2 linked regions of the Nothobranchius furzeri genome follow. The protein of the gene in region 2 interacts with the protein of the main gene of each other region in a pairwise test. Links are inferred from orthologs where the notes say so. Each region holds a gene or a part of one and is shown on either strand. Other genes may lie near its edges.

Region 1 (4,566 bases), on a different chromosome or scaffold from region 2:
GAACATTACCAACACGGTTAACAAAACTGTTCCCATTCCACTCTCTCAAAAAATGTTCACAGGTAAACTTCTGCATTGTGTTTTTAGGCTAAAGGACAGTTTAAAAAACAGTCTGTGGCAAACAATGTGGAGGTGAGGGTCCCTGTCCCCAGCGATGCTGACTCGCCCAAGTTCAAAACCAGCACAGGCAATGCCAAATATGTTCCTGAGAAGAACCTGGTGGTGTGGACCATCAAGTCTTTTCCAGTAAGAGCCTTTTACATGGAATGAAGGGAACTTTTCCTCCTCTCTGTGTGTAGCCTACTTATTTATGTCTGTGTGGCTCCATCTGTGCAGGGAGGAAAAGAGTTTCTCATGAGAGCCCACTTTGGGTTGCCCAGTGTGGAGAACGATGAGGCGGAGGGCAAACCTCCCATCACGGTCAAATTTGAAATCCCCTACTTCACAGTCTCAGGAATTCAGGTATGTGTGTGTAGGCGCTACAGTCTAGTGCATCTGGAAGTGTTTGTTCTGGATCTTAACTTTGTTCAGGCGTGGTGTTGTTTGTCTACACACCTCTAAGCTGCTTGTTCTGCTCTCATGCCTCCCACTTCATAAACTAATGCAGTCAAGTCAGGTCCTGTTATGCTGAGTGGTTCACTGTGGAGAAACGCGTGCTAATTTGATTTAATGATGCACGCCTGTGTTCCTGCTTCAACACGCTTCATCTCAGTCATTCCTTTTGTCTAGGTCCGATACATGAAGATCATAGAGAAAAGTGGGTATCAGGCTTTACCATGGGTCCGCTATATCACACAGAGTGGAGGTACATTAGGGTTACACTTTTTCTAAAATATTCAAAAAAGAAAAGCAACCATAGCTTCTTTAATCTCTTGCATTTTCTCTATTTTTATTTAGATTACCAGCTGAGGACCAACGTGTAAAGCCTTCTGGATCTCCTACTGTTTTTTTTCACGTGTCCAGAAGGTCAAAATGAGCAAAATCATCACTTTACTGCACTGAAAGGTCTTTTAAACATCACCTGCTTTAACATTATTGCTTTAAAAGGTTTTATGGAATGTGTTTGCAGATTAAACTCAGTGTGTATTCTGTGATGCATCAACTTTATTTAAATTAAAATGAGCCCTGTGAAGCAAAAAATCATCAGTGGTTTTTTTCTTCCTGTTCTCGAGGGTTTTAAAGATTTTAGAATGTGTTCTAACACACACACACACACACACACACACACACACACACACACACACACACACACACACACACACACACACACACACACACACACACACACACACACACACACACACACACACACTCTGTAAATTCCGCCCAAAATTAAAACCCTGCACCCGCCTTTTTTACGCTGCTGAGGGAACCCACAGGATGAAAATCCGAATGAACTGCCCTTGGAGGACGCCAACGTATACGAATCGCCCGCTTTCTTCGCCTCGTGTCCTGATTGGTCAGCTGCCTCTGTTACTACAGCGATAGCGTAGTAACAGCAGCGCAGCCCCGCCTCTTTGACCATATTTGAAGGAATGACGTTGAGCAGGCGAGCTGTGATTGGTCAGTGTAGTCTCTCTCCAATGTTTGTAAATTGTAGACCGGGCACATAGCTGTTTGGATCTCAGCGCGCAAATGTCTAGTTTTAAGGTTGATAAACTTTCCACTTTTGAATCGTCTTTAAACGTAACCGCTCTGTAGGACCAGCAGGCTTTAAAACTCGGTGACGCGTCGGCTCTTGGCGAACTAAAGAAGGTAGGTTTGAAAGCTGTTGGACTGTTAGCTTTTAGCCAGGATGCTACTCGTTTGTAACATCTGATCAAAGTGAAATAAAACTATCGAGACGAGGAATGTTTAGTCGAACAGTGTTGTTAGGAAAACTTGGTTCAGTCGACCAAGTGTAACCACTGCATGTTTACAGGAGGTGTCAGCGGGGAGCTGCGGTACGTTAGCCGGATGCTGTAGTAACGTTAGCTAGGTGTAGCCGACTGCCGTGTCCCTGGCTCTTTGTTTTGATGAGACGCCGGTGGTTGTGGTTAGTTTTCTAACCTGGCCGTGTGTCTCACATCAGGCAGGAACAGAGACTATCATGGTGCTAAGTCAGATGGAGGCGGGGAAAGCGCTGACCGCGGCAGCAGCTAAAGGGAACACGGACGAGGTGCAGAGGATCCTGGAGGAATGCAGAGTGCATCCCGACACTGTCAATGAGTTCGGCCGGACCGCGCTGCAGGTGAGCGGCTCTCAATCCTCACGGGATTCCTGCAGGGGTGCCAGAACGGAGCTAAATATGTTCTCACGTTTCAGAAATAATCCCTCTGAAGGTTTAATGTCGAAGAGTAGATTATGCTACAGGAGATCTGTAATTTTAAATTAAACGACTTGTGATACTTGTCGGTCTGATCGAGCTCCATCACACATAGTGTAATGGTTCATTTACCTCCTCAGTAAGTCTGATGGTCACAAAGGACTCGGACCAAGTTGGAACAGAGAAACTGGGAGGGCAGTGACCCACCAGACTAGGATTAGGCAGTCTGATCAAGCTGTTTTCATGCAAGATTAAAAAAAAACTCAAACATTTTCAGCCAGTCACGCTCTTGCCTTCAGTTTAAGACATTAATAAAAAGTGATTTCATTTGGCAACCATGGACCACTATAAATCTTTTATTTCTGCTTCATATAAATTAATTGAGTGTGTTTTACTTTCATGCTAAATAAACTAGAAATAATTTCAGTTCCAGTAATTACAAATTAGTCTTGCTTATCCGCATGTTCTCTTAAGAGCTGTATGGAAAGGACCAATGTCTTTAGAAAATTGAGCTTTTATGATGACGAGGACATGTGGAAGTGACGAGTGACCAATGAGCCCTCATCATCTTCTTGTTTTTCTCTGTCCCACAGGTGATGATGATGGGGAACTCCAAAATAGCCAGTTTGCTGTTGGAAAAAGGAGCTGACCCCAACCTCCAGGACAGGCACGGCATCGCGCCCATCCACGACGCTGCCAGAACCGGGTTCCTCGACACCCTGCAGGTTCTGGTGGAGCACGGGGCTTCGGTGAACCTTCCCGACCACAATGGAGCGCTGCCCATTCACATCGCCATCCGAGAAGGCCACCGGGACGTGGTGAAGTTCCTGGCGCCGCGATCGGACCTGAAACACGCAAACACCAGCGGCCAGACGGCCGTAGACGCGGCCAGAGCTTCGTGTGTGCCGGATATGATGGACTCGCTTTTCGCTCACGTCCACAGTTCATAAGATTGATCTAAACTCAAACCTCACACTGTTTCGTTTTTGCTTTGAAACTTGAATATGTTGCTGTATGAAAGAATCGGAGTTATTGGTGGCTTAGCATTAATATGTGACACAGGACATATTGTCTTGGCAGCTTATTGTTGTGGATGGGTGGCTCTATACTGTAGACACCTTTTGCACAGTGCAGTTTAGGCACCTTAAATTTACATATATCTGTTTTCCCCATTACCGGGAGCGCACATTTGTAGATGGTTGTCCCAGTGTTATCTAATTGTTTTGATTGTGTAAGAGTTGTAGCAGTTCCTACTCGCGTGTTTCTTTTTAAAAACAAACCCTGATTGCTTTGCATAGTTGTTTCTCTTCATTAGATGAACTTAGACTTTCAATTCACTTATTATTTATTGTTGGAAAATGACTTAATATTCCCTTTGTGATGTAAATTGCAGCATTTTTTTTGTGATTTGTTGAAATGTTATTTATACAAATACTTTTAAGACAAAAGTGAGATTATTCACTTTAATATTTGCAGAAGAGAGCACAAAATAAAGTGATGAACTTGATGTCTTGTGTTTTTCTGAGCAAGTAAATACTTGTGGGGTTTGGTGTTGAAATAGAATCTAAATGGTTATAGGAGGTGGTTTTAACTCTGACGTGAGGTGAAACCTTTAAAAAAGTTTGTTAATAAAACTTCCTAACACATAGTTGTACAAGAAATGTCAGAATATATTTTAAGTAAAATATAGAGTAAAGTAAAGCAAGTGAACGGGCTATAAAAGCTACTTTCTAATCCACTTTACCGTACATCCTAAATCACACATACCGTAAATCCTCTAATACAGGCCCGGGCCTGTATTAGAGGATTTACGGTATGTTGTATATTAGTTTAAATTAAGAAAAATAAGTGAGTTTCGCCTTTGTCATGTACTTAAATATTTATTTAGCTAGTATAAATTCTTAATTAAATGACTACAAATCAGACGTTGCATATAAAACATTCACAACAAAACTGTAAGAAGTATTTCCATATTAAATAAAGTGAAAAATTTCCTGGATCGCAACATACTTCACATGTTATATTGCGCGCTGGTGCAACCATATTTAAATTATTGTGCAGAGGTCTGGGGCAACACTTATAAAACTACATTATCACCAATAATAATATTACAGAAGAAAGCCATCAGGATTATTAATAAAGCGGGCTATAGAGATCATACTAACCTGTTTTTGAAATCACGAGTATTAAAGTTTACTGACCTTGTTCAATTCTTGACATTACAAATAATATATTAAGCTAATGACAAACTACTCCCTGGT
Region 2 (3,873 bases):
ATGTTTTGACTGACTGGGCTATAATAGCATGGCTGTCACATGTCGAACAAGATTACAAATCCATGTAAAATCTGCACACTGATCTCTGTGTGTTACATGGATGATGCAAGTCTTCAGTGCTGTTGCACATAATCCAACTGTGACAAAAACGTGTAGTTTTCGTGAATGACGTGTCACCTTCCAAAGGATCAACACACTGAGAAAACTGGACAACCCAAAGTCAGCGATGCATCGTGTCTGACGTCATTAATATAAACAAACGCGGAAATAAAAACTCATTTGGTGTTAACTGTAGCTAGGTGGGAGACTTGGATGACACATTTAGAACATTTTGTTCACGGCGTAGCCACAAAACAACTCTTCAGTTAAACATGCATCAAAACGACGTGTTTTATATTTAGACACGTTTACAAAAAAAACTAAAAAAAACACCATTAAACAGTTTAATCGTTAGATATGATGTTATAAAATAAATAAATATTCTACATTGCAGGCCAGCCGAATTTTACGCAAACATTTAAATAATGAAAATGTTCCTACAGCGGTCGCGAATGCCAGTTATTTTGACCCCGAACACTAAAATTAATATTTCCAACTCCAGGTTCGGTTCTCCTTTTTCCAGCGAGCGGGATAGACTGCAGGCGCGTAATGCCAGGTGATAAACAGGGAACGTTATCTTATATTGTGGTTGGATACACATTTATCGATGAATCAAATTAATCTTTAACCCAGGTTATCAGTCAAAACAGATAAACCCCAGACAGACATAAGTGAATGAACTCACGGTCCGGAGAGCAGCCATCTCTTCTACGTAGCGCTGATAAAAACGAGATTATCCGTTCGTGTGGAAACAAACAAACTAAACATTAGTTCCGCCCAGCTGCTGTGGTGCCAGAAAACAGCAAGGCACCTCACATAAATACTCATACCAGGTTTATAAACAATATGTTACTGGTACTTGTTTTTATTTTAACTATTTACACCATATGTATAAGAATGCCAGTGGGTAAAAAGGGGGACAAAGTTAATGAGACTGTCAATTTTTAAGGCTTTATTAATGTTGAATGGTCTTAGCTAGGAAGTTAACAGAGGCGTGCCAAATGCATGGCATCTGATTGGGCTAGAGGCAGAGAGGTTACTGTAGGTCAAATATGTTTAATACTGATTGGTCTAGCATTGGAGGGTGGTGCAGGTCTAGTTACAATTGGCCTGGATGCCAACATAACCCTAACCCATAAACTCAACCAGGCAGATAAAATAAAGGGACACTTAATTTTTTTGCATCACCAACCTCCCTGTTTTATGAGCCATTACTGTTGATTTTAGTATGTAAACAGGTGATTTTTCAGTTTGAAAATAATTTCCAGCTGCTCAAAAGCCACACGATGCTGTAGAGGTCAGAAAGATCAGGACAGGATCTGACTCTTAAAGCCGTAGTTGAGTTCTGCCCCTCCGCTGAGCAGCAGGTCGATCCCGGTGCAGAAAGTGGCATCTGCAGCCAGATACAAGGCAGCAAGTCCACACTCAGCCTCTGTTCCCATACGACCCATCAGCTGTTGGGAGGAGAAAGCACATGTGACTGGTTGTACCAGGCAGTTTCTTCTGCCATCAACAGCTGTTCACACAGCTACTGCTGTTAAACAAGGAAAATTGGTACAAATTTGATATCAAGAAACATTCTGTTCCTCTATTCTGTCTTGTACAGCTGTTTGTTACATTAACACAAGGCAACTTCTGCTGCATCAGCAAAAATCATCTGCTACATGCTCTTGACACAAAAACTGTACCTAATGAAAAGCTTTTGCTACTTTCCTGAGCTAACCTGAGCATTTTCTCCCACTCTGATGGCCTCTGCAGCATCTGGCGTCTGTGCTGCAAGTTCTTCCCAAAGCGGCGTCATCACGTTACCTGGAGAGATGCTGAAACAAATCAGCTGTAAGCCATAATCATCACAGTTATAACAACTAAAGGCTTGAAATGTCTGGCTTTGCATGCACTGAGTCTATATCTCATTTTAGTTTCACCTTTTAAGTTGAATTACTAGCAGAAAAGAATTTTGCACATTAACTTATTTTTTTCTAATTTCACATGTAGTTTGAGAATCACGATTACTGAAACCGTTGCTAATTATTCCTCAAGCAGCAAGGAAATCACAAAAAGCCATAAATCTAAAAATAATGTAAAATTTCACTGTTTGGCTTCTTTAGCAAATAACATTATTACCCTATTGGATATTTAACTGGTGACATCAAAGAGAGGTTTGCCTCACCAGTTCACTCTCACATTGCATCGACTCTCATCCACAGCCATGGCCTTGGTCATGGCGATGATCGCTCCCTTGTGGAGGAAACGTTACATTACAGAGCAGCTCTGCTGGTTTTTAAAATATTCTTCTAGCATCTATTAACTCACTTTAGTGGCAACATAGGGTGCAGCATCTTTCTGACCAATTGTGCCCACAAGACTGGAAACATTAATAATGTTTCCCTGATGCTGGCGCAGGTAGGGTAATGCAATCTGCAGAGAGAGCCAGAGCTTTCACAAACACACACACACACACACACAAGCATGATGGGAAGGTCTTTGCAACAACGCAGGAGTATAAAAACTATATTATTACACAAATGTTACAAATCTAAGCTGTTATTGGGGGTAGGTTTTATTTATAAAATAAAAATGAGAAAAACGTAATTTCACATATGTGTCAAATTCTTTTTCTCATGATTTTTTGTAAGTTTGAGGTTTGAATAAACTTTATTAATAATTCAAGTTCTGGAGATGACACATTCCCTTTATCAAGTTGTAGTTTTGTTATTTTTATGTAATTTTGTTTTCCCAAATTTCATGAATCAGATTTTAAACTCCAATATCATTTCAAGCCTTCTATTTAAAACAAACGTCTCCATTATCAGACAGTTTGACCTTAAATCGTACATTTTTTAAAATGAAATTCCCACAAAGTTTTAGGACGTGACCAAATAAACTATTCACTTGAGATGTTTTGTATTTTTTAACTTTTCCCCCTTTCTCTTGCTCTCAACTCTGATATATTTTCTAAGGAAAAATAAATAATATTTTTACACTATTTTCCTATTCATAGGTAAAAAAAATTCCTGCTAAATTATTTGTTGACGCACGTATAAAACTTTACTTTAGAAGCCAGGAAGTAACTGATGAGGTTGAGATTCAGCAGCTCTCTGAACTCCTCTGCTGTTGTTTCATCGGTGGCTTTGTGAGGAGGGTCTGAGGATGAAGATGATCTAAAAATTAATCTGCAGCTTCATTCTCAAATACGTCTGCAAGAATCAAGAGGGCGACTCACGCCAGCCAGCGTTGTTGACCAGGCAATCAATGTGTCCATAAAGCTGCACAGTGACTGAGATCAACATCTGAAGAGACAAATAAGGACAAACTAATATGAATAACAACTAAAAGTTCACATTAAACAATTTCCTGTTAAACCATGGGGCCCACTGTTGCTGCAGCTCTTAAGGTTGGTTTATGCTTGACGCATCCGCGAGGTCCGTACGGCTCCGTGCGGAAAAGTTGCGTCATTTTGCGTCATTTTAACAACCACGCCCCTCCACACGGCCCAAAATTTCCGCAACGCGCACCTAGGAAATTTTCTAACCACGCAGACGGTCGGACGCAGAAAAACATGGCGGACCGGCAAGAACTAGTATGGCAGAGGTTCGTAAATACAGACATTTGTATGATTCAGCTCTCAGAGATCACCGTGATCAACATGTTGTTAATAATTCTTGGAGAGAAATAGCTCGCACTGTCGGAAAAGACGAGGACGCTGTTAAAAATGCTGGAATGCCGTGTTGTAAACAGTCATTGTTACTTCTACTATGGTGTAGTGTTGGATGC

The links. The genes of interacting proteins can lie anywhere in the genome.
Region 1: the proteins of hsd17b14 (region 2) and cyclin-dependent kinase 4 inhibitor D-like interact in binary tests that used the Homo sapiens proteins (3 or more experiments, as listed by UniProt). The two-hybrid records come from large-scale screens. The link is inferred for Nothobranchius furzeri from reciprocal best matches to the Homo sapiens genes HSD17B14 and CDKN2D.

The regions. Positions count from the first base shown.
Region 1 is NC_091747.1:71,358,018-71,362,583, forward strand, and holds cyclin-dependent kinase 4 inhibitor D-like, read left to right. Parts: upstream 1-1,616; 5' UTR 1,617-1,755; intron 1,756-2,071; 5' UTR 2,072-2,089; coding exon 2,090-2,230; intron 2,231-2,898; coding exon 2,899-3,255; 3' UTR 3,256-3,387; downstream 3,388-4,566. Other genes in the region: ap1m2 (AP-1 complex subunit mu-2), read left to right, coding at 88-246, 337-462, 730-805, 898-923. UniProt on the Homo sapiens protein: Interacts strongly with CDK4 and CDK6 and inhibits them.
Region 2 is NC_091745.1:6,244,242-6,248,114, reverse strand, and holds the end of hsd17b14 (17-beta-hydroxysteroid dehydrogenase 14), read right to left. Parts: intron 3,390-3,873; coding exon 3,323-3,389; intron 3,244-3,322; coding exon 3,152-3,243; intron 2,536-3,151; coding exon 2,413-2,535; intron 2,338-2,412; coding exon 2,270-2,337; intron 1,920-2,269; coding exon 1,823-1,919; intron 1,554-1,822; coding exon 1,407-1,553; 3' UTR 1,037-1,406; downstream 1-1,036. Other genes in the region: bcat2 (branched-chain-amino-acid aminotransferase, mitochondrial), read right to left, coding at 785-802. UniProt on the Homo sapiens protein: Catalyzes the NAD(+)-dependent oxidation of L-fucose, yielding L-fucono-1,5-lactone, which rapidly converts spontaneously to L-fucone-1,4-lactone. Can also act on D-arabinose and L-galactose, with lower catalytic efficiency. Does not use NADPH.